Saccharomyces cerevisiae S288C: one gene and its partners. The gene in region 2 interacts genetically with the main gene of each other region. Each region holds a gene or a part of one and is shown on either strand. Other genes may lie near its edges. The genes, in order: SWC5, MRC1, VPS71 and CSM3.

Evidence for each region.
Region 1: mutations in MRC1 (region 2) and SWC5 together harm fitness more than expected from each alone (negative genetic interaction), as found in Saccharomyces cerevisiae (5 studies listed by BioGRID, with this or other methods).
Region 3: mutations in MRC1 (region 2) and VPS71 together harm fitness more than expected from each alone (negative genetic interaction), as found in Saccharomyces cerevisiae (6 studies listed by BioGRID, with this or other methods).
Region 4: mutations in MRC1 (region 2) and CSM3 together harm fitness more than expected from each alone (negative genetic interaction), as found in Saccharomyces cerevisiae (12 studies listed by BioGRID, with this or other methods).

The regions. Positions count from the first base shown.
Region 1 is NC_001134.8:679,665-687,189, forward strand, and holds SWC5 (Swc5p), read right to left. Parts: upstream 3,427-7,525; coding exon 2,515-3,426; downstream 1-2,514. Other genes in the region: OM14 (Om14p), read right to left, coding at 1-278, 376-386; COQ21 (Coq21p), read left to right, coding at 698-898; telomere maintenance protein PBP2, read left to right, coding at 3,764-5,005; DAD3 (Dad3p), read left to right, coding at 5,313-5,597; ARC40 (Arc40p), read right to left, coding at 5,774-6,928; VHC1 (Vhc1p), read left to right, coding at 7,237-7,525. UniProt on the Saccharomyces cerevisiae protein: Component of the SWR1 complex which mediates the ATP-dependent exchange of histone H2A for the H2A variant HZT1 leading to transcriptional regulation of selected genes by chromatin remodeling. Involved in chromosome stability.
Region 2 is NC_001135.5:15,592-23,686, reverse strand, and holds MRC1 (chromatin-modulating protein MRC1), read left to right. Parts: upstream 1-1,580; coding exon 1,581-4,871; downstream 4,872-8,095. Other genes in the region: ADF1 (Adf1p), read right to left, coding at 1-103; FYV5 (Fyv5p), read left to right, coding at 1-164; ribosome biosynthesis protein KRR1, read left to right, coding at 308-1,258; VAC17 (Vac17p), read right to left, coding at 5,126-6,397; L-serine/L-threonine ammonia-lyase CHA1, read left to right, coding at 6,807-7,889. UniProt on the Saccharomyces cerevisiae protein: Required for normal DNA replication. Phosphorylated in response to DNA replication stress. Phosphorylation allows it to mediate the activation of RAD53.
Region 3 is NC_001145.3:194,413-201,848, forward strand, and holds VPS71 (Vps71p), read right to left. Parts: upstream 1,344-7,436; coding exon 501-1,343; downstream 1-500. Other genes in the region: carnitine O-acetyltransferase CAT2, read left to right, coding at 1-388; YML040W (gag protein), read left to right, coding at 2,216-3,538. UniProt on the Saccharomyces cerevisiae protein: Participates in the catalytic exchange of histone H2A for the H2A variant HZT1, an euchromatin-specific factor, leading to chromatin remodeling and changes in transcription of targeted genes. Indirectly involved in vacuolar protein sorting.
Region 4 is NC_001145.3:365,368-368,434, forward strand, and holds CSM3 (Csm3p), read left to right. Parts: upstream 1-1,613; coding exon 1,614-2,567; downstream 2,568-3,067. Other genes in the region: FG-nucleoporin NUP116, read right to left, coding at 1-1,338; ribosome biogenesis protein ERB1, read right to left, coding at 2,727-3,067. UniProt on the Saccharomyces cerevisiae protein: Forms a fork protection complex (FPC) with TOF1 which is required for chromosome segregation during meiosis and DNA damage repair. FPC coordinates leading and lagging strand synthesis and moves with the replication fork.

The DNA of each region.
Region 1 (7,525 bases), on a different chromosome or scaffold from region 2:
ATCTGGCGTTGTGGTTCGCATACCCGTTACATAAATAACATACCACTGAAGAATGCAGCAACAAGTTGACCAAGACAACGGGATTCTGAAGTTCTAAAAAGCATACTTTGGCAAAGTCTTGCGTCTTACTGACAAAAGCTTGGAGGTAGCCGCAAGCGACTGCTGATGCACTATTTAACCGTGCCTTCAGATATTCGATAGCGCATTCCTTCTTATTGTTGTGGTGGTGACCGTCTTCAGAGTCAGAATTTGGGCTAGCGTTACTGTCGTGTTTAGCACTGGGGAAAAGAAAGATGGTCATAGATGATATACGTTAGTCAAAAGAGAACCGGGAGAAAAGATTAGGCGATACGTTTCAGATATTAGTGTACATACGTTGCAGACATATTATGAGATGCTGGAGGTAGATGTTATGTTTCTAATTGTTGGAATAGGGTTACGTCGGCGGTTTCGGTTGAAGTGGGCACATTGATCGACACTTTATATACGCAGGGACGATTAACGGGAGAGGAGGTAGCGGCGGCGTCATTGGCCGCTGGCCCGGGGTAGTAGGGCAGGGAAAGGGGACGGTGAAAAAATAAAACGTAAGTGGGACAGCAGAGATTTGAGGAGTTGAGGCAAGAACAGAGGAGAGAACGAGAAAGCGGATAAGCAACAAAGGAAAAGGAAACAAGTAAAAAAAAAAAAAGAGACTAGCATGAGAAACGAATTATACCAGTTATGGTGTGTGGCGAGTGCAGCAAGAGGGGTAGCCAAGAGCTCATTCGTAAGGGCCAATTCGGCCATGTGTGAGTACGTGCGCACGTCCAACGTCTTGAGTCGCTGGACTCGGGACAGGCAATGGGAAGCAGCTAAGGCCCTATCACAACGGGTCAAGAAAGAGTATGCCGCCAATTAGTGCACACACATACATATATTTTATATACTTACATATTTGGTTGCGTGGTATATAGAATCTCTCCTTTCGCTTCATGAATGAACTCATTCATGCGAAGTCAAAGGAAAAAAAAAATAAAAAAATAAAAGAGCGAACGGGAAGACGAGAGAAACATCAAGCGACCAAAGTAAAAGTCAAGAACGACTCCACAAGTGCGAGGGTCGCGACGTCTCTAACTTTAAAAACAGGCGTCAACCATCAAGTCCGTTTCTTGATGCCGCCGGCATTCTTCAAATCCCTCCAAAAAAAACGCCTCTATGACATAGGCGGTTAATAAAACTGGCCTTGAAACAACAGATGCAGTCATGGCTCTTCTCTTTTCCCAGCAAACGCCTTCCATTGCCTCCTTTTTTTCTCTTCCAGAACTCTCTCAGCAGTATTCTCACAAACACATCTCCTCCCCTTTAGCAAACCTCCATTTATATCCTGCGAGAAGAGCTCCTTCTCCTCAATGAGAAAATAAGCACAAAATAAACTGGGAAAAAAAATATAGTAAAAGACGCCAGCACGTTAACAATGGAACACTCTTATTGTAGACCAACCCCACCCTACACCCCCTCAAACCGAGGACACTTCAAAAGGAAAATCAACAACTTTGGCCGATACTTGGGGGATAAGCAAGCTTATCCTATTACATCAAAAAAAGAATCGTAAGACACCTTTCCTTGCAAACCAAAAATCATAACAAAGTCGAAAAACTTCCTCTTGCAGCGCCACCAGAAAAAGAAGACGAGCGAAGAAATCAACAATAAGAGCGCCCCATCCGCACTAGCACCCCATACCATAAATATTATCTCCCAACCTACTATAGCACCATTTCTTCCCATCGATAAAGAAAAACCAAATCCCGCGTTGGACATAAACGGCTCGGAAAGACAGGGAAGAGTATGAAGCAAAAAGCCAAACTAAGGGAGAAACAGAAAGCTAAAAAAAAGAAAATAGAAAACAACCAGAAGAAAACAAAAACAATAACCTTGAGCAACCGTCGTCTCAAAAACCAATTTCGAAAAACCATCATAAAAACGCCTTATGAAGAAACCATGAGCGAAGAAAAATAGCAGCAAAAAGTAGTGAGACCTGACATTAGCGGAAAACAACTTGCTTAAAAAGTCTCTTCCCGTCCATTTTATTATTTTGGGTGCCAAAAAATGTGTATTGTAACAAATTAAAAGGTAATGAGCCTCATTGAGGTCATTTCAGTTGTTACACTGAAAAGAACAGATACTACACTTGATCTAAGCCAAAAGGCAAAGAGATTCGTGGGGATTTAAAAAAAAAACAAGTAGAAACAAAATGAATAAATCTGATAACAAGTAAAGTACTCATCGATGAAAAAATGAATGTAGAGCCCTTTTTATATGTTTTCACCGAGTGGCCCATCGGAAACGGCAAAAAAAAAAAAAGAAAGAAAAAAGAAAAGAAACATAGAGCGTTGCTAGGTTTTTTTTGCCACCCACACCCATACACCCCATTACTTTGTCTGCAGCATCGTTATACACGTAGTGAAAGTGTGCAGGCCTCGGCGGTTAAAAAAATTTGAGCAGAAAAGCATGTTATTTAATACATGTAATATTTGTCTATGAAGCTTCGCTATCCTGCTGCAACTGCTGAGCAAGTTGTTGCCGGCGCAATTCTTTGTATCTCTCGTCCTCTGCAGACCCGACCCGCTGCAGAAATTCTTGCCGGGCCAAGAACCCATCCTTGTTGTGCAGCACCAATTCGTCGTTAAGTCCAGCACGGTCTACATAACTAGCCCAGTCCAGCTGAGATTTTTCTAATGTCGTTAGCTTGGGTCGTAGCCCGCCAGAAATGATCTGCTCCAACAATGGAGGCCTTTTCAGTGGCCGTCGCAAGTGTTGCCGGCTTTCATTGGACTTGGTCCTAACTGCTTTTTCCAGTTGAACAGGAGCAGCAGGCGCCTGCTGCTTAAATTTCAAACTGTTTAGATATTCTTGACCCTCCGCACTGCTGCGTGAAACCCATTTTTTCTCATGGACAGTTTCACCAGCAAACTTGTAGTTTCTTTCGATGAGGATTTTGTCCTCCTGTTGCGCGGCCGTTGTCGACCTAGCCTCCTTGGAACCGTCGAGAACAGAGCCGACTTTCCCTGAACTGCTCAAAAGACGGTTCTTACTAGCTTCCTGTAGCTCCTCCCAGATGCTGTTTACTTTTGCAGGGATCGATTCAACAGTTAACGATTCATACTTATGTGTTTTCGCATATTCTTCCTCAGCTTGCCGAGCTCTTCTAGTCTTGATCAGTCCGCCGCTCTCGCTCTCTATACGCGAATAGTCCACTTTATTTCTACCCTTATCTCTGTTCACACCGTCATCATAGTCGTCACCGCCATCGCTGGCATCACTATCGTCGCTACCACCACCTAATTTATCTTTTTCAGGCTGGAAGTCCTCGTCCTCCTCTTCTATGTAGCCGTCCTCGTCCTCGTCCTCCTTTTCGTTTGGTATAATCTTTGTCTCTACTTCTGGCATTTATAGGCTAGTGGGTTTTCTTTCTTGAAACAATATTATTCCAGTTTACGCCTTTTCGTCTTTTTTCTTACTTGTCGATTAATCCTATTCATCATCTTTAAACTTCGCTCTTTAATTCACTTTTTTTTGTCTTTCCCCGATATGGTACTTACACGAAATATCATGATACAAAAGAAAACACGTACATACTCGTCAAACGATAAATACGCACCTAGTCGTTAGCCGCATAAGTAACCTTTTTCATATTCAAACTTATCCATAGCCACATCCACTCTAACAATTTTAATCGTCCAGCGCGGCATTAAATAATCTTTCTGTAATACTCTTTAGCTCAATTATGTCCACAGAGACTACAAAACCATCAATCACTACTACACCAACTACTGTACTCGTTTCTCCCAACACGCTCAAAAGGAAAAAGGGTGAAGACACCAGCGAGGAACAACTGGAAGCAGAAATCAAACGCGTGGCCCTGAAGGATGCAGACAGCCACTCTGACAACGACCACGATTCCCCCGACAATGTTCCCTCTGATGTACATTTACGAATGCTGTGCTTAGTCAAACACGCTTCACTGATAGTAGGACACAAGGGCGCCACTATATCTAGAATAAAATCCGAAACCTCTGCTAGAATAAACATATCAAATAATATCAGAGGTGTTCCTGAAAGAATTGTTTACGTGAGGGGTACTTGCGATGATGTAGCCAAGGCATACGGCATGATAGTAAGAGCGCTGCTTGAAGAACATGGTAACGAAGATAACGGGGAAGACATTGAGATTTCTATCAACCTATTGATCCCTCATCATCTTATGGGATGTATAATTGGCAAACGTGGGTCTCGGTTAAGAGAAATTGAGGATTTGAGTGCAGCAAAATTATTCGCGTCCCCGAATCAATTGCTGCTTTCTAACGATAGAATTTTAACCATTAACGGGGTTCCGGATGCTATCCATATTGCTACTTTCTACATTAGTCAAACATTGCTAAACTTTCAGATGGAATCTCCGCAGAAAAATGTGAAAAGGTCCATATACTATCAGCCAACTCAGTTTAACTCAGTATTAATAGACCATAGCCAACCGAACACCATTTTCCATCAAAGAAACCACCAATATCATCCAAGCGATAAACTACTTTCATACAAACCCAACAAAAATTTACCAATATCATCTACTTTGTTGAGTATGGCCACACCGCAGTATACTACTGCTAGCGTTGCAAACGCAACGGCCTTTCAACCGAACTTCGTTATCCCTAATGTGACAGTCTTAGACGGCCCTGTTATCAGTCCGGCACCCGGCAACCATTTATTAATGAACTTTGTACAACAAGAGATATTCATAGATGAGAAATTTGTCGGAAATGTCATTGGCAAAGATGGCAAGCACATAAATTCGGTCAAGGAATCCACAGGTTGTTCAATTATTATACAAGATCCTGTAGAAGGCTCTTCGGAGAGAAGACTTACCATAAGAGGTACGTTCATGGCGTCCCAAGCTGCTATTATGTTGATTAGCAATAAAATTGAAATTGATAGATCAAATGCTGAACGTAAAAGAAGGTCGCCCCTCTAAATATACTGCTAGTCAATAAAAACACATAGAAAATAAAAATACAGAAACTACAAAAGGCAAAAAAAATAAAAGAAAAGGTAATAAATTGAATGAATGTAGATATATAAATATCAATAGAAATACGTACGCGGAATTATTTCTCTTTGTAACAAATTGATCAAAAGCTTTGTATTTTTTTTTTTTTTAGCTCGGCTGCGCGCTATTACAGTAATTACATGTAAATAAACTATTCCAAAGAATACAAAAGAAGAGCTTACAGTAGCCAGTCAAAGTCGCTGTGAAACATACACGGCGTTGTAGTCACAGTATGGAACACAATCTTTCACCTTTACAGCAAGAAGTATTGGACAAATACAAACAGCTTTCTTTAGATCTAAAAGCTCTGGATGAAACTATAAAAGAACTAAACTATTCGCAACACAGGCAACAGCATTCACAGCAAGAAACTGTATCGCCAGATGAGATACTACAGGAGATGAGGGACATAGAGGTCAAAATTGGTTTAGTTGGGACACTGCTAAAAGGTAGCGTGTACTCGCTTATCTTGCAAAGAAAGCAAGAACAGGAGTCTTTGGGTAGCAATTCTAAATAATGGTTTGGTGCAAGAAATTGATTCTGATGCTTTATTTTTTACGGTACACTACATTGTGCTGTGAGTTGTAATAATATAGTCTGTATATGCCAAGTGAAGAAAAAAACAATACAAACTCAAGGTGTATTATGAGGTAGGGAATACACATAACAATATATATATATACGTATGTATATTTAAATTGTATAAATGACGATCTTACCGTCTAACCCACAGGAAGAGACTTGTGTGATTTGGCCGTTGGATTCCGCAAAAGGTCTTAATTCCACAATGGCGTTTTCATGTGCACTTTCTTGGACATCTGTGCTAACTTTACCTTTCAAGTCTAATTCTTTAAACTTTCTCAATGCGGAAATACCGAAAGTTGAACTTTCATCATTATTACCACTCAGCTCGTCTGTATTACCAGATGCAGTTAAGGCAGAAGACTTGTTATTGTCTGATTTGTCTAGATTCTTCGCAAATTTCCAGCCTTCAGAGGCTTCGCTGAACAATACCGGATGACAAGAGTATCCTCCACAAACAATCTCGTGGTCGTTTATCCATACTAAGGACCTGTAAGGTAAACCTTCCGGAGCATTGACAGATTGCACTGGAGATTGGTAATCGACAACATTCAAAGTACCATCATGCGCTACATAAGCAATTCTTTCCATCTGACTTCTCCATTCCACATCATGGATATAAGAACCCTGATACCACTCCCTGATTAAACAACCAAAAGGGAATTTCTGGCCCCAGGGTGATCCGGCGACGGATTCCTTGGAATCCAAACCCTTGATAAACCCGCTGAACACACGCATAAACCCATCAGTACCACCAGCAGCTAATAGGACTCCATTTGCATGCCAAGACAGGCAATTGATGGTAGATTTGATGGGTTTCTTGATGTGCTTGGATACCCACCAATTATTCTCGTGTTCGTAATAACAAACAGCGATGATTCTAGCACTGGACCCAACAGCAAACTTATAACCATTTGGTGCCCATGTAACTGAAGTAGCTGCTCTGTTAATACGAAGAAGTACTAACGTGGGCTTGTATGTCCCATCACTCAATGGCTCCCAAACGTAAGCATTACGGTCTTGGGAGCAAGTCACAATACGACCATGTATGGAAATGTCCACAGCAGTAATGGTTTTATCATGATCTTTCAACGTTGCGAATAAAACGGGAGGTGTGTTGTTTGAAACTCTATAGACAAGACAATCTGTTTCGCATGTAACGGCTAAAATAGATTTATCTTGAGAAAAGCAATGAGAGTAGATTGGCGCTTTGACCAGCTTGTAGACGGCAACAACGGACTTGTCTTTAGAATTGGAAAATGACATTAGGAGACTCTCAACTAATATACGTTTACTTCGGCTTATTTTTCCTATTTTTCTTTGTTTCTAATCTGGAAGCTTTCTCGATCAAGATTGCTCTTATTTGACCCTTTTTCATTATAGGCAAGGCGCGGGCGGGTGACAAGAAGATTTTGATAATTGTGCAACTGATAACGTAGGATTCATTATCAACATTGTTGTTAAAGAGTAACAAGGAAATCTAAGAAATGGTTGTGCTTGTTGTCGAAGAAGTGATAGAGACAGTGTTTTTGCCAGCCAATTCTCTTTAAGAATAGGCCTTTCTTGTAGGATTAATGGTTAGTAGGTTTTATCAGATTCCAGGTACGCATCGGCCATCGTCGGCAATATCTTCTTCAAATGAATCTTCTTCACTGTTGTCTGCAAGGAGAATAAGTCAAACATATTTCAATTATCAGGCGACCCCTGAATGCCAAAAAGTTTCCTCTAAGTATGATCCTGATAACCCAAACAAAGATAAGTTGGGAACATACGATGGGGTATTTGTGCCTACTGCTTTAAACGTATTGTCTATCCTTATGTTTCTTCGTTTTGGCTTCATTTTGGGTCAGTTAGGTATTATAT
Region 2 (8,095 bases):
TTCTCTTCCTTTCAGCGGTGCTGATCGACCTCTTTTTTTGTACTTTCTTGCCAACACCAACATTCTTGCCCACACCTTTCTTTTTCATGCTACACTTGCCCATTTTTTCCTTGCTAAATGCCCTTGAGTTATTGTACCTTATTATAGCAGGCTTGCACATCTGAAAACGAAAATTTTTTTTTCCTTATATTTCTAATTCTTTTAGCGATGAGATATGAAAATTTTCAAAAAAAAGAGATGATGAGGTTAACTATTGTAAAGTAGACAGCAAACAAAAGGGTCACACAAATATCCAAATTGGCAAACGATGGTGTCTACACATAACAGAGATAAACCTTGGGATACGGATGATATTGATAAATGGAAGATAGAGGAGTTTAAGGAAGAGGATAACGCATCCGGTCAACCTTTTGCTGAAGAGTCCAGTTTTATGACTTTGTTTCCTAAATACAGAGAAAGTTACTTGAAGACGATTTGGAATGATGTAACAAGGGCTCTAGACAAACACAACATAGCGTGTGTTCTAGATTTAGTCGAAGGTTCTATGACAGTAAAAACAACTAGAAAAACATACGATCCCGCTATCATTTTGAAAGCCAGAGATTTGATCAAATTATTGGCGAGATCCGTTCCTTTCCCGCAAGCCGTTAAGATCCTACAAGATGACATGGCATGCGACGTTATTAAAATTGGTAATTTCGTTACTAACAAAGAAAGGTTTGTCAAGAGAAGACAACGTCTTGTAGGCCCTAACGGTAATACTTTAAAGGCTTTGGAACTTCTAACTAAATGTTACATTCTAGTACAAGGTAACACAGTAAGTGCCATGGGTCCCTTCAAGGGCTTGAAGGAGGTCCGTCGAGTAGTAGAAGATTGTATGAAAAATATTCACCCTATCTATCATATCAAGGAATTAATGATAAAAAGAGAATTGGCAAAAAGGCCAGAGTTAGCCAATGAAGATTGGTCAAGATTCTTGCCCATGTTTAAGAAGAGGAATGTGGCCAGAAAGAAACCCAAGAAGATCAGAAACGTCGAAAAGAAGGTCTATACTCCATTTCCTCCTGCCCAATTGCCTAGAAAGGTTGATTTGGAAATTGAAAGTGGTGAGTATTTCTTAAGCAAGAGAGAAAAGCAAATGAAGAAATTAAATGAGCAAAAGGAAAAGCAAATGGAAAGAGAAATCGAAAGGCAGGAAGAGAGAGCAAAAGATTTCATAGCTCCGGAAGAAGAAGCATACAAGCCAAACCAAAATTAGTTTACACCGCTACGGAATCCTTCATATATGTCTATATATATATAGAAACACACACACATTTCGTTTACTTAGATATGTTTGTAAAGTGAAAGAAATTCTTACTAGGACACCAACTCTACTGGCTCTCATATGCAGAGAGATATACATCAATACTTGAAATTTTCCTTATCCTTCTTCGACGCGTCATGAAGAGATAGAATGCGTAAAACGCGTTTGCTTCAATAGCATTTCAAACACATTATGTTGGAAAAAAACCAAGAACAGACAAACAACTAAGGAAGTTCGTTATTCGCTTTTGAACTTATCACCAAATATTTTAGTGATGGATGATGCCTTGCATGCTTTGTCCTCGTTGACTGCAAAGAAGAGAACTACCACCTACAAAAAAGTTGCTGTTCCCATACTAGATGAGAACGATAATACTAATGGAAATGGGCCCAATGACATAGACAATCCGCCAGAGTTGACTGGGAACGGGTTTTTATTTGCCAATGCCACATTAAATCGTGTTAAGAACAGATTAGAAGGCAAGAAAGCACCCGAACAGAATCACAATAATGGAAAAGATAGGAGTGAGAATTCGTTACCAACTCAATTAATCTCTAATCTTTACGATGGTGGTGAAGAGCTGGAGAAATCCGAAGTTAAAGATAATAGTTACAGTGAGAAAAATGTCTCTTCTTCATTCACGCAGACGCAAAGAATACCTGTCAGCATCCAACAAGACAAGGTGTTTAACGTACCTATCCATTCCGTTAATGACGGGAAACCCACCCAATTAATCAAAGAAGATGGTCTCGTCAACGAAACTTCTCAAGCGCTGAAAACACCTCTCACGACAGGACGGCCAGGGGCTACACAGCGTATAGATAGCAGCGGTGCAACCTCACAAACTCAGCCTATAAAATCAATTGAACCACAATCCCAAATAATTACGACTTCCAGCAATCATTCTAATGCTCTGTCGCCGAAAATTCCTATAATTCCAACGGAACTTATTGGAACTAGTCCTTTATTTCAGTCCATTCAAAATCGTGGTCCTGACACCCAAATGGATGTACCACCACAGACTGCGCATGATGAGGATAAGACACAAGCAATTGGTATTCCACAGGCTACGCATCAGGAACAGAAAACCCAAATAGATACAGTCGCACAAACACTTCAAGATGAAGTACCACACACATTAAAAATTCGGGAAATACAAAGCGAATTGGCTTCAGAAGATTCTAAAAGGGAAAAAGCTAGAAATGTCGAATACAAAAAACCGCAAAAGCCAATACCAACCAAAAAATTTTTTTCTAAAGAGTCTTTTCTTGCTGATTTTGACGATTCGTCCTCAAATGAGGACGATGATATAAAGCTGGAAAATGCACATCCAAAACCAGTACAGAATGACGATGAACTGCATGAGAACAAAAGTGTTGAATTAAATCTAACTGATGAGACAAGAATAAATGAGAAAAGGGTTCCACTATTGAGCTCCTATGCTAATAATTTGAAACGGGAAATTGACTCCTCGAAATGCATAACACTGGACCTCGACAGCGACAGTGACGAATATGGAGATGATGATATGGATAGCATTAAATTATCCAAAGATGAAAGCGTTTTGCCAATCTCTCAGTTATCAAAGGCGACTATATTAAACCTGAAGGCAAGACTCTCTAAACAAAATCAAAAGTTGTCTCAAAGGCCGAATAAAAGTAAAGACCCAAAAGTTGATCATAATGTACTATTAAATACCTTAAGGAAAGCTAGCAGGAAACAAATTCTGGATCATCAGAAAGAAGTGATTGAAACGAAAGGTCTGAAGCTGGAGGATATGGCCAAAGAAAAGGAAATAGTAGAGAACTTGCTAGAACAAGAAATTCTTAGAAATAAAAGAATCAGACAAAAAGAGAAGAGAAGGGAAAAACTTGAAGAAAATGACTTTCAATTGAACGCCCATGATTCCGGTTCTGACTCAGGGTCAGAGTCTTCTGGATTTGCATTGAGTGGTAATGAAATTGCCGATTATGAATCATCTGGTAGTGAAAATGACAATCGTAGAGAATCCGATAGTGAAAAGGAAGATGATGAAATTATTCTAAAGCAAAAAAAATCCCACCACGTGAAACATATCATTAACGAATCAGACTCTGATACCGAAGTCGAAGCCAAACCCAAAGAGAAAGCTGATGAAAGTCTACCGAAAAGGATCGCCATTAATCTGGGCCATTACGGTGATAATATCGGAGAGGATACCGACAAATTTCAAGAAACCAATGTTCTAGATACACAAAACATTGAAGAGGTGATGGCCGAAAGAAATACAATCGAAAATGAAGTCAAAGATGATGTATACGTCAATGAAGAAGCTGATGAAGCAATTCGCCGTCAGCTGATTGACAAAGAGAAATTGCAACTAAAACAGAAAGAAAAGGAGCACGAGGCTAAGATAAAAGAGTTGAAGAAAAGAGGTGTCACAAACTTCTTTGAAATGGAAGCCGAAGAATCCGAGGATGAATGGCATGGTATCGGTGGTGCAGATGGAGAAGGATCTGACGACTATGATTCTGACCTAGAAAAAATGATCGATGATTATTCCAAGAACAATTTCAATCCTCATGAAATCAGAGAAATGCTTGCCGCAGAAAATAAGGAAATGGATATCAAAATGATAAACAAAATTCTTTATGACATTAAAAATGGAGGATTTCGTAATAAAAGAGCAAAAAATAGCTTAGAGCTAGAACTAAGTGATGATGATGAAGACGACGTACTACAACAATATCGTCTCAAAAGGAGAGAATTGATGAGAAAAAGGAGATTAGAAATTGGCGATGATGCAAAGCTTGTTAAAAACCCAAAGTCGAGCGCATTTTTTGAAAGTATGGTGGAAGATATTATCGAATATAAAAACCCCTTCGGGGCTGAAGAGGAATATAACCTAGACATTACAAGTACGGCTACTGACCTAGATACTCAGGACAATAGCATTAATGTAGGTGATAATACGGGAAATAATGAACAGAAACCTGTAGATCAAAAGAACAAAAAGGTTATCATATCTGAAGACTTTGTGCAGAAAAGCTTATCCTTCCTAAAAAGTAATAATTATGAGGATTTTGAAACGGATAAGGAGCTATCAAGGATACAACATGGCAATGATGAAGCAATTGAAGATTTATATACCCTAAAACAGAATAGTTCGATAAAGTCATTCACAAATTCTCAAACTGATTCGACCACTTCAAAAACAGTAAACACAATAATTGACTTAGAAAAGCGCCCAGAGGATGAAGATGAGGTGGAAAATGGAGATACATCACTAGTTGGCGTTTTCAAACATCCATCAATAATCAAATCCTTTGCGTCCAGAACAGACATAAATGATAAGTTTAAAGAAGGTAACAAGACAGTCAAGATTCTAAAGTCTTACAAGACAGTGGGGAGTTCAAAAGCTTCTATCACATATATGGGGAAAACGAGAAAATTAATAGCACCAAAGAGGAAAACTGAAGGGAGCCACCGCTACCACCATGACCATCATAATAAAAAAATGAAAATGAAAACGAAAACAAAATCGAATAAACTTTTTGAAAGCGGACAAGATAGCTTTGATAATTAGTGGTTTTTTATCTTTTCCGAAGAAGTTGATTGAACTCCAGAAGCTGTCTTGAAGTAGTCGCATTAAAAAAGATGGCACCCGAGTCTAGGCCAAGCCATAGTCATGTTATGATAGGATTTTATAAGACAAATATTATAAAGAAGTTTAATAATAATACAAAAAGATACAAAAAAACTTGAAGATATTCTGAATAAAAAAAAAAAGAATAAACATTTGGAGCAAAAGAAGAGTAGGTTAGGTAAAGGAGGCATTAATTAAAACAGCAGTTCTGTATTCAAAGCATCTTGCAATTCTTCTATAGAGACGCTTATATCCATATTATTTTTTTGTTCCTGTGCTACATTATGATTTGATATTCGTTCTTCATTCATGCCCTTATTCTTTCTCCCCCTCTTACTTTGAAAAGATTCTGATATTGTGCTTAACGATGAATTAAACTTATCCATAAAAGATGCATGCTTAAGATTTGTGTTGTTCTCTTTTACCGTATGTGTATCTGATCGTGCAATGAATGATGATAACAACGCCTTAGAACTTGAAATACGAGGACCATTACGACTAGGAGCCATTGTCGCTGCAACAGTTGGATGACAGTTCACTTGGACATTTGATATCGAAGTTCCAAACGTCGGATTAGATGGCCTGAAGAATGAGGCGGAGAAACTTCCCAGATTGAGCGACTTAGAAGGTGCTGGTTTGTTAGATAGTATACTTTCGTGAGAGTTATATCTCCTTAAAGGTTCGAATTCAGCACCCTTTGCGGTCACACCAACATGTGGAGGGGTACTTATGTTTGGTAGAATGATAGTATCTTGATCAGAATCAAAATCTTCATCATCCATTTCATCAAAGAAGGTCAACGAAAGTCTTTGTCTATTTTTGAAGAAAGACTCATACGTATCCGAGGAAGACGGTTTCTTACTTTTGTTCAAGCCAGTATCATGTGATTTGGCTGCACGTAAAGTGCGATTTCTTGCAGGTTGTTTTTTAGGTGAGCACGGTAAAGAGTTAGTTTTCGAAGGACAATCGACTTCATTGATGGGGTTAAAGCCTACCGATTTTTTTGGTGGTTTCGATGGAGTTACCATACACAGACGTTGCCTCTCAATTATTTTCAATGGTCGAGGTTGAAATGACCCTAAACTACTTCTGGTGGATTGCGATTGTGGAGAATCATTAGGCGCTTCATTTGGGACGGTGGCCAGCTCGTTCAACCTCAAAGTGATATCCTGGAATTCACGAACCAAGTCTTCTATGCGTTGATGCTCATTATCCTCTGTGATCAATCTGCGTTGTTGTTCCTTGCTCAACTTGTCTCGAACAGATTCCGATCTAACATACAAAGAGTTCAGTTGAGACATATACTGGTTGTACTGTTGGGATAACTTATCCAATGACTCTTGATCTGTTGTCTGGCATATTGATGATCTCTGCTGACGTTGTATCCACAGATCTAATTGCAAGATAGCCTCTTGCGACCTTATTAAAAGCCTCTCCGTGATATCCTCTAGGGCTTGGGTTGCCATTAATCGATGTGTCCTTGTTTCCTTATGCGAGCTGTTTCTTATCTATCTTATGGTCCCATTCTTTACTGCACTGTTTACATTTTGATCAATTGCGAAATGTTCCTACTATTTTTCTTTTTCTCTTTTCGCGAGTACTAATCACCGCGAACGGAAACTAATGAGTCCTCTGCGCGGAGACATGATTCCGCATGGGCGGCTCCTGTTAAGCCCCAGCGGAAATGTAATTCCACTGAGTGTCATTAAATAGTGCCAAAGCTTTATCAAATTGTTTGCGATGAGATAAGATAAAAGGGACAATATGAGGAGGAACACAGGTATATAAATATCGCCAAATAAAAGGAAAATGTTTATACAGTTTTCTCTTTTTTAAGTGCTGGATAGACAAGAGACAGGAAAATTAACCAGCGAGATGTCGATAGTCTACAATAAAACACCATTATTACGTCAATTCTTCCCCGGAAAGGCTTCTGCACAATTTTTCTTGAAATATGAATGCCTTCAACCAAGTGGCTCCTTCAAAAGTAGAGGAATCGGTAATCTCATCATGAAAAGTGCCATTCGAATTCAAAAGGACGGTAAAAGATCTCCTCAGGTTTTCGCTAGTTCTGGCGGTAATGCCGGTTTTGCTGCTGCAACAGCATGTCAAAGACTGTCTCTACCATGTACAGTCGTGGTTCCTACAGCGACAAAGAAGAGAATGGTAGATAAAATCAGGAACACCGGTGCCCAGGTTATCGTGAGTGGTGCCTACTGGAAAGAAGCAGATACTTTTTTAAAAACAAATGTCATGAATAAAATAGACTCTCAGGTCATTGAGCCCATTTATGTTCATCCCTTCGATAATCCGGATATTTGGGAAGGACATTCATCTATGATAGATGAAATAGTACAAGATTTGAAATCGCAACATATTTCCGTGAATAAGGTTAAAGGCATAGTATGCAGCGTTGGTGGAGGTGGTTTATACAATGGTATTATTCAAGGTTTGGAAAGGTATGGTTTAGCTGATAGGATCCCTATTGTGGGGGTGGAAACGAATGGATGTCATGTTTTCAATACTTCTTTGAAAATAGGCCAACCAGTTCAATTCAAGAAGATAACAAGTATTGCTACTTCTCTAGGAACGGCCGTGATCTCTAATCAAACTTTCGAATACGCTCGCAAATACAACACCAGATCCGTTGTAATAGAGGACAAAGATGTTATTGAAACCTGTCTTAAATATACACATCAATTCAATATGGTGATTGAACCGGCATGTGGCGCCGCATTGCATTTGGGTTACAACACTAAGATCCTAGAAAATGCACTGGGCTCAAAATTAGCTGCGGATGACATTGTGATAATTATTGCTTGTGGCGGCTCCTCTAATACTATAAAGGACTTGGAAGAAGCGTTGGATAGCATGAGAAAAAAAGACACTCCTGTAATAGAAGTCGCTGACAATTTCATATTTCCAGAAAAAAATATTGTGAATTTAAAAAGTGCTTGAAAATCCAATAACTTTTTCGTTGAAGCATCAATTTGCCCTTGATAATTTTCATACATGTACTACATACATTTTACTCATATATCACTATTTTGCTAGTATTGATTTTTTCCAGAAGTATTAGTGTAAGATTTCTCGAAGTAAGCATCAACATATCCAAAACGTTGACATATTTCTAGGCCGGCAATGCACAGAATTTGTATAAAGGG
Region 3 (7,436 bases), on a different chromosome or scaffold from region 2:
AAAAGAGCATTCTACGTACCTGAAAAATGCTGCAAATGGTAATGGTGTCGATCGTCATTTCTTCGGTCTAAAGAATATGCTAAAATCTAATGATGACCAAATTCCGCCCCTTTTCAAAGATCCCTTATTTAATTATTCTTCAACTTGGTTGATCTCCACATCTCAACTATCTTCGGAATATTTTGACGGTTATGGTTGGTCTCAAGTAAATGACAACGGGTTTGGACTGGCATACATGTTGAATAACGAGTGGCTGCATATCAATATTGTCAACAAACCAGCCAAGAGTGGAGCCAGTGTTAACAGATTACACTATTATTTATCTCAAGCTGCTGATGAAATTTTTGACGCCTTGGAAAATGAGAATAAACGAAAAGCAAAGTTATGAATTTTTCACCTTTCCTCTTCAATTAATTTGTGAATATTTTTGTTAAGTATCTACACTTACATACGTATAAATAGGGGAGAAAAAAGGGCTTACGAATACATACTGATCATTACTATCTATTTCTGCACCTAGTTTCATTATGCAATTTAAAACAACTTACAGAACAAATCTTATTTCCACAATTAACGCAACTTGAAATACTATCGTAGCCACCGCAAATAGAGCATGTCGTAATTAGGGGTAACACTTTGAAGTATCGTTTATTGTAAACATTGTGGTAAATGACATTCTTATCCATCAAGTTTAGCAGCGCAGAATCTAAAAACGAATGTAAATTTCTTTTTGAACTTAAAACCTTCTTTAACGCCACAATACGATTGGTATTCTTCCTCTTTGGTTTAGGTAGTTTTGTAGATTTATACGATAATTGTATTTCCCGTAAGGTTTCTGGTTTAAGCACCCAACCATGACCATACTTGGAATGCTCTTTTACAAAAGAAGAACCACCCATTAATGCAGAGAGACCATCCGAGGTCTGTGAGATCGGTTTGGTTGTTGATTCAATTCTATCTCGTGGTACGCCTGTGAGATCACTTAATAAAGTCGGTACATTTGGTAAATCCGAGAAATTTTCTGTGTTAAGTTCCATAAACCTCCTGTCCGACTGGAGAATCTCTTGTTGTGTGTACCTTTCTTCAAATGAATGGGAATTCTTACTATTTCGGTCATCCTGTCTGCTTATACTATTGCCATCTCCCTCAGATCTCGAAGTATATAACCTGGCCTCTAAATCTGCCAGTGAGTAGTTTATGCGCTTTACGGGCCTAGAGGTGGATATTGTGCCTTGCTTATTAATCTTCTTTGAAGTATATCGACGTGCTTGAGGATCCAATGACGTGAAATATATGTCAGGATTGTAAGTTTTCTTATCAATCTCTTCAACTAGCGCCTTCATTTCGCTGTTATGAGTAAGCGATCCGTTCTTTTTCTTCGATCTATCAATGATATCGACGTTACTATAGATTGAAAGGGCCGCTTCGACTTTTGTTAATACTCACAAAGATCATCATGTTCATTATAAAAAAAGTAGTTATTAATTATCTATTACCCGGATCAAAGTTATTTCTACAGAACACAAATATTTTATTGATTGCTTCGTTACATAAAGCAACGACTAAATAAATATAAGCTCTCTAGCTATTCCACCGACTTCACTTCCTTAATGAATGGTCGTTTTTGTAATACTCCAAAAAAAATATCAAAAAAAGGGGCGAGCTGGGAATTGAACCCAGGGCCTCTCGCATGCTTTGTCTTCCTGTTTAATCAGGAAGTCGCCCAAAGCGAGAATCATACCACTAGACCACACGCCCTTGTGAACTTGTGAATCTTAGCCACTAAGGAATCACCGAATAGTAAAAGTTTTCTGACAACTACAATATTAAGCCCTTAACAACAATAATGAATATTGAGTGCATAATGTTGAAATGGAACTCTAAAATATCATTTGTTTAGTAGTATTCGTGTTACTAGTTGTTGGAATAGAAATCAACTATCATCTACTAACTAGTATTTACATTACTAGTATATTATCATATACGGTGTTAGAAGATGACGCAAATGATGAGAAATAGTCATCTAAATTAGTGGAAGCTGAAACGCAAGGATTGATAATGTAATAGGATCAATGAATATAAACATATAAAACGGAATGAGGAATAATCGTAATATTAGTATGTAGAAATATAGATTCCATTTTGAGGATTCCTATATCCTCGAGGAGAACTTCTAGTATATTCTGTATACCTAATATTATAGCCTTTATCAACAATGGAATCCCAACAATTATCTCAACATTCACATATTTCTCATGGTAGCGCCTGTGCTTCGGTTACTTCTAAGGAAGTCCACACAAATCAAGATCCGTTAGACGTTTCAGCTTCCAAAACAGAAGAATGTGAGAAGGCTTCCACTAAGGCTAACTCTCAACAGACAACAACACCTGCTTCATCAGCTGTTCCAGAGAACCCCCATCATGCCTCTCCTCAACCTGCTTCAGTACCACCTCCACAGAATGGGCCGTACCCACAGCAGTGCATGATGACCCAAAACCAAGCCAATCCATCTGGTTGGTCATTTTACGGACACCCATCTATGATTCCGTATACACCTTATCAAATGTCGCCTATGTACTTTCCACCTGGGCCACAATCACAGTTTCCGCAGTATCCATCATCAGTTGGAACGCCTCTGAGCACTCCATCACCTGAGTCAGGTAATACATTTACTGATTCATCCTCAGCGGACTCTGATATGACATCCACTAAAAAATATGTCAGACCACCACCAATGTTAACCTCACCTAATGACTTTCCAAATTGGGTTAAAACATACATCAAATTTTTACAAAACTCGAATCTCGGTGGTATTATTCCGACAGTAAACGGAAAACCCGTACGTCAGATCACTGATGATGAACTCACCTTCTTGTATAACACTTTTCAAATATTTGCTCCCTCTCAATTCCTACCTACCTGGGTCAAAGACATCCTATCCGTTGATTATACGGATATCATGAAAATTCTTTCCAAAAGTATTGAAAAAATGCAATCTGATACCCAAGAGGCAAACGACATTGTGACCCTGGCAAATTTGCAATATAATGGCAGTACACCTGCAGATGCATTTGAAACAAAAGTCACAAACATTATCGACAGACTGAACAATAATGGCATTCATATCAATAACAAGGTCGCATGCCAATTAATTATGAGAGGTCTATCTGGCGAATATAAATTTTTACGCTACACACGTCATCGACATCTAAATATGACAGTCGCTGAACTGTTCTTAGATATCCATGCTATTTATGAAGAACAACAGGGATCGAGAAACAGCAAACCTAATTACAGGAGAAATCTGAGTGATGAGAAGAATGATTCTCGCAGCTATACGAATACAACCAAACCCAAAGTTATAGCTCGGAATCCTCAAAAAACAAATAATTCGAAATCGAAAACAGCCAGGGCTCACAATGTATCCACATCTAATAACTCTCCCAGCACGGACAACGATTCCATCAGTAAATCAACTACTGAACCGATTCAATTGAACAATAAGCACGACCTTCACCTTAGGCCAGGAACTTACTGAATCTACGGTAAATCACACTAATCATTCTGATGATGAACTCCCTGGACACCTCCTTCTCGATTCAGGAGCATCACGAACCCTTATAAGATCTGCTCATCACATACACTCAGCATCATCTAATCCTGACATAAACGTAGTTGATGCTCAAAAAAGAAATATACCAATTAACGCTATTGGTGACCTACAATTTCACTTCCAGGACAACACCAAAACATCAATAAAGGTATTGCACACTCCTAACATAGCCTATGACTTACTCAGTTTGAATGAATTGGCTGCAGTAGATATCACAGCATGCTTTACCAAAAACGTCTTAGAACGATCTGACGGCACTGTACTTGCACCTATCGTAAAATATGGAGACTTTTACTGGGTATCTAAAAAGTACTTGCTTCCATCAAATATCTCCGTACCCACCATCAATAATGTCCATACAAGTGAAAGTACACGCAAATATCCTTATCCTTTCATTCATCGAATGCTTGCACATGCCAATGCACAGACAATTCGATACTCACTTAAAAATAACACCATCACGTATTTTAACGAATCAGATGTCGACAGGTCTAGTGCTATTGACTATCAATGTCCTGATTGTTTAATCGGCAAAAGCACCAAACACAGACATATCAAAGGTTCACGACTAAAATACCAAAATTCATACGAACCCTTTCAATACCTACATACTGACATATTTGGTCCAGTTCACAACCTACCAAAAAGTGCACCATCCTATTTCATCTCATTTACTGATGAGACAACAAAATTCCGTTGGGTTTATCCATTACACGACCGTCGCGAGGACTCTATCCTCGATGTTTTTACTACGATACTAGCTTTTATTAAGAACCAGTTTCAGGCCAGTGTCTTGGTTATACAAATGGACCGTGGTTCTGAGTATACTAACAGAACTCTCCATAAATTCCTTGAAAAAAATGGTATAACTCCATGCTATACAACCACAGCGGATTCCCGAGCACATGGAGTCGCTGAACGGCTCAACCGTACCTTATTAGATGACTGCCGTACTCAACTGCAATGTAGTGGTTTACCGAACCATTTATGGTTCTCTGCAATCGAATTTTCTACTATTGTGAGAAATTCACTAGCTTCACCTAAAAGCAAAAAATCTGCAAGACAACATGCTGGCTTGGCAGGACTTGATATCAGTACTTTGTTACCTTTCGGTCAACCTGTTATCGTCAATGATCACAACCCTAACTCCAAAATACATCCTCGTGGCATCCCAGGCTACGCTCTACATCCGTCTCGAAACTCTTATGGATATATCATCTATCTTCCATCCTTAAAGAAGACAGTAGATACAACTAACTATGTTATTCTTCAGGGCAAGGAATCCAGATTAGATCAATTCAATTACGACGCACTCACTTTCGATGAAGACTTAAACCGTTTAACTGCTTCATATCAATCGTTCATTGCGTCAAATGAGATCCAACAATCCGATGATCTTAACATAGAATCTGACCATGACTTCCAATCTGACATCGAACTACATCCTGAGCAACCGAGAAATGTCCTTTCAAAAGCTGTGAGTCCAACCGATTCCACACCTCCGTCAACTCATACTGAAGATTCGAAACGTGTTTCTAAAACCAATATTCGCGCACCCAGAGAAGTTGACCCCAACATATCTGAATCTAATATTCTTCCATCAAAGAAGAGATCTAGCACCCCCCAAATTTCCAATATCGAGAGTACCGGTTCGGGTGGTATGCATAAATTAAATGTTCCTTTACTTGCTCCCATGTCCCAATCTAACACACATGAGTCGTCGCACGCCAGTAAATCTAAAGATTTCAGACACTCAGACTCGTACAGTGAAAATGAGACTAATCATACAAACGTACCAATATCCAGTACGGGTGGTACCAACAACAAAACTGTTCCGCAGATAAGTGACCAAGAGACTGAGAAAAGGATTATACACCGTTCACCTTCAATCGATGCTTCTCCACCGGAAAATAATTCATCGCACAATATTGTTCCTATCAAAACGCCAACTACTGTTTCTGAACAGAATACCGAGGAATCTATCATCGCTGATCTCCCACTCCCTGATCTACCTCCAGAATCTCCTACCGAATTCCCTGACCCATTTAAAGAACTCCCACCGATAAATTCTCATCAAACTAATTCCAGTTTGGGTGGTATTGGTGACTCTAATGCCTATACTACTATCAACAGTAAGAAAAGATCATTAGAAGATAATGAAACTGAAATTAAGGTATCACGAGACACATGGAATACTAAGAATATGCGTAGTTTAGAACCTCCGAGATCGAAGAAACGAATTCACCTGATTGCAGCTGTAAAAGCAGTAAAATCAATCAAACCAATACGGACAACCTTACGATACGATGAGGCAATCACCTATAATAAAGATATTAAAGAAAAAGAAAAATATATCGAGGCATACCACAAAGAAGTCAATCAACTGTTGAAGATGAAAACTTGGGACACTGACGAATATTATGACAGAAAAGAAATAGACCCTAAAAGAGTAATAAACTCAATGTTTATCTTCAACAAGAAACGTGACGGTACTCATAAAGCTAGATTTGTTGCAAGAGGTGATATTCAGCATCCTGACACTTACGACTCAGGCATGCAATCCAATACCGTACATCACTATGCATTAATGACATCCCTGTCACTTGCATTAGACAATAACTACTATATTACACAATTAGACATATCTTCGGCATATTTGTATGCAGACATCAAAGAAGAATTATACATAAGACCTCCACCACATTTAGGAATGAATGATAAGTTGATACGTTTGAAGAAATCACTTTATGGATTGAAACAAAGTGGAGCGAACTGGTACGAAACTATCAAATCATACCTGATAAAACAGTGTGGTATGGAAGAAGTTCGTGGATGGTCATGCGTATTTAAGAATAGTCAAGTAACAATATGTTTATTTGTTGACGACATGATTTTATTCAGCAAAGACTTAAATGCAAATAAGAAAATCATAACAACACTCAAGAAACAATACGATACAAAGATAATAAATCTGGGTGAAAGTGATAACGAAATTCAGTACGACATACTTGGCTTAGAAATCAAATATCAAAGAGGTAAATACATGAAATTAGGTATGGAAAACTCATTAACTGAGAAAATACCCAAATTAAACGTACCTTTGAATCCAAAAGGAAGAAAACTTAGCGCTCCAGGTCAACCAGGTCTTTATATAGACCAGGATGAACTAGAAATAGATGAAGATGAATACAAAGAGAAGGTACATGAAATGCAAAAGTTGATTGGTCTAGCTTCATATGTTGGATATAAATTTAGATTTGACTTACTATACTACATCAACACACTTGCTCAACATATACTATTCCCCTCTAGGCAAGTTTTAGACATGACATATGAGTTGATACAATTCATGTGGGACACTAGAGATAAACAACTGATATGGCACAAAAACAAACCTACCGAGCCAGATAATAAACTAGTCGCAATAAGTGATGCTTCGTATGGCAACCAACCGTATTATAAATCACAAATTGGCAACATATATTTACTTAATGGAAAGGTAATTGGAGGAAAGTCCACCAAGGCTTCATTAACATGTACTTCAACTACGGAAGCAGAAATACACGCGATAAGTGAATCTGTCCCATTATTAAATAATCTAAGTTACCTGATACAAGAACTTAACAAGAAACCAATTATTAAAGGCTTACTTACTGATAGTAGATCAACGATCAGTATAATTAAGTCTACAAATGAAGAGAAATTTAGAAACAGATTTTTTGGCACAAAGGCAATGAGACTTAGAGATGAAGTATCAGGTAATAATTTATACGTATACTACATCGAGACCAAGAAGAACATTGCTGATGTGATGACAAAACCT
Region 4 (3,067 bases), on a different chromosome or scaffold from region 2:
TGCAGGTTTGCTTCCAAATAATCCGCCTTGTTGCTGTGGCTGGCCAAATGCGTTTGAGGAGTTTTGTTGTCCAAATAATCCGGATTGGTTCTGGCTTTGGTTATTCTGACCGAACAATCCTCCAGCGTTGGAATTTTGTTGCTGGCCAAATAACCCTCCTCCACTTTGCTGCTGATTGGTTTGCCCAAATAAGCCACCAGTGGTACCAGTGGGGTTGGTATTCATTCCGAATGCTTTTGAACCAGCAGATTGTCCAAATAGTCCACCAGAAGCAGGTTTAGCTCCAAAAAGAGCACCAGTGCCTTGCTGTTGGCCGAAAGCGCCACCATTTGCGTTAGCGTTTGATTGACCAAATATACCACCACTACCTTGTTGTGTTTGTTGTTGGGGAAAGGCACCACGATTCACCTGACCAAAGGCTCCCCCGTTACTGACATTATTCGCCCCAAATGAATTTTGCTGTTGACCAAATAATCCTCCGTTTGTATTTGAGTTCTGCTGGCCGAAAAGGCCTGTATTATTAGTGCCGTTTGTTGGGTTGTTAGTTGTATTACCAAACAATCCCCCGGAAGTGGCAGGTTTATTTGCTCCAAATGCAGAATTTCCTGAGAGGTTAGTAGAGCTTCCAAACAATCCTGTAGAGTTGGTCGCTCCAGAGCCAAAGCCACCACCACTTCCAGTTCCGGTTCCAAACATGCCTGTTGCTGGCTTTTGACCAAATAATCCTCCTGTTGTAGCAGAAGTAGTGGAGTTATTATTACCCATAATTCCAAATCCAGTATTGGTAGTTCCTTGAGGATTGTTAAAAGTAGTACCAGTGCCATTTTGACTGGTACCGAATTTTCTACCAGCTTGGTAATCTTGAAATCTCAATTCTTCAAAAGAAAAATTTCTGTATTCAGGCATACAGGTGATACTTTGGAAGACGTTGATGACACCTGTGGTTGGATCCTTCTCTTCGAATGTAGTAAAAGGTTTAATGCTTGTACCTGCAGTAGAATTGGGCACAACAGAAGCGGAACCAGCAGAAAGTGCTGTGTTATTACCCATTCCACCGAAGATCGAGCCAGAGGCATTGTTGTTCGTCAATTGACTTTGACCAAAAGGAGTACCATTTGCTGTAGTCGAGCCTGACATTCCGAAGGGAGAATTAGAAGTTTGGTTACCAAAGTTACCAAACGCAGGTGCTTGTGTTGTATTTGTTTGCTGACTGAGGCCGAAAGCAGAAGTGTTTGCTACTGGTTGTTGTTGTTGCTGTTGGCCACCAAAGGTTGATCCTGTTGAGCCAAATGGCTGTGTTGTTGCGCTGGGGAATGCGCCACGGCTAACTCCAAACATAATAATGTTTTAAAAAAGAAATCTTCGAAGCTGAATGGTGCCTCTCAGTTGCCGGGATCTCTATGCAATGCTGATAGTTTCCTTTGCGACCTTATGACACTTTATTAACTCTAAGTATAATTTAGTTTTGTTCTTTTTCTAATGAGCATGGTAAGGAAAAATGCCGGGTAATGATAATCTGCAAAAGTGACAATAATAAACTGACGCGTAACAAGATCAATGATATACTGGATTAAAATGCCATGAAAACGTGAACAGAAACTTTTATTGAGGTCATGGATCAAGATTTTGACAGTTTATTACTAGGTTTCAATGACTCCGATAGTGTCCAAAAAGACCCAACTGTACCAAATGGCTTGGATGGTTCAGTAGTTGATCCTACCATTGCGGATCCAACCGCAATTACAGCTAGAAAGAGAAGGCCTCAAGTAAAATTAACAGCCGAAAAACTACTCAGTGATAAAGGTTTACCATATGTTTTGAAAAATGCACATAAAAGGATACGAATTTCCTCAAAAAAAAACTCATATGACAACTTATCAAATATTATTCAGTTTTACCAGCTTTGGGCACATGAATTGTTTCCCAAGGCAAAATTTAAGGATTTTATGAAGATCTGTCAAACAGTAGGTAAAACAGATCCAGTTCTTAGAGAATATAGAGTCAGCCTTTTTAGGGACGAGATGGGCATGAGTTTCGATGTTGGCACACGGGAGACTGGGCAAGACCTGGAAAGACAATCACCTATGGTTGAAGAACATGTCACTTCCGCGGAAGAGAGGCCTATTGTCGCAGATAGTTTTGCGCAAGACAAAAGGAATGTAAACAATGTCGATTACGATAATGACGAAGATGACGATATCTATCACCTTTCTTATCGCAACAGAAGAGGACGAGTTTTGGACGAACGTGGGAATAATGAAACGGTACTTAACAACGTTGTGCCGCCTAAGGAAGATTTGGATGCATTATTGAAGACATTCAGGGTACAAGGGCCCGTTGGCCTTGAAGAAAATGAGAAGAAGCTCTTATTAGGATGGCTAGATGCGCATAGAAAAATGGAAAAAGGCTCTATGACTGAAGAAGACGTTCAACTGATTCAAAGTTTGGAAGAGTGGGAAATGAATGATATAGAGGGACAACATACTCATTATGATTTATTGCCAGGGGGAGATGAGTTTGGCGTAGATCAAGATGAGTTGGATGCTATGAAGGAAATGGGCTTTTAGCAATGTCATTGAAGGTAATAATCCAAACGTGCGTGTGGGCATCTATACATATAGGTTTATATATATTGTGTAAATAAAGCTTGTAGAAAGAGCCTGGTTCGAGTGTTTGATTTTTTCTTCTTGGGCGTTATTATACAATATCTACTTCAAATTATTTATCTAGGTGGTCCATAAGCGAGCCGTATTATCAGCACCGGCAGAAAACAGCCAAGCTTCCCTCGGATGCCAAATAGCATCAAGAACACCCAGACTATTGATTACTTTATGACCGGTTAGTTTCTTTAGTGGCACAATCATCGGATTTTTCATCATGTCATCATAAACAGTGGCATGGAAAACATGTATGGTACCGTCATCAGCGGCAGAGCTGAATAGAGGTAACTTTTTGTGGAAATTCACACTTCTGACGGCTTTTTCATGATATCTTAGTGTCTTGTAAGGTGTGCTAGCCAAATCCAGGTCGTGCCATAAAACTCTCTTGTCAAACGATGACGCAATTA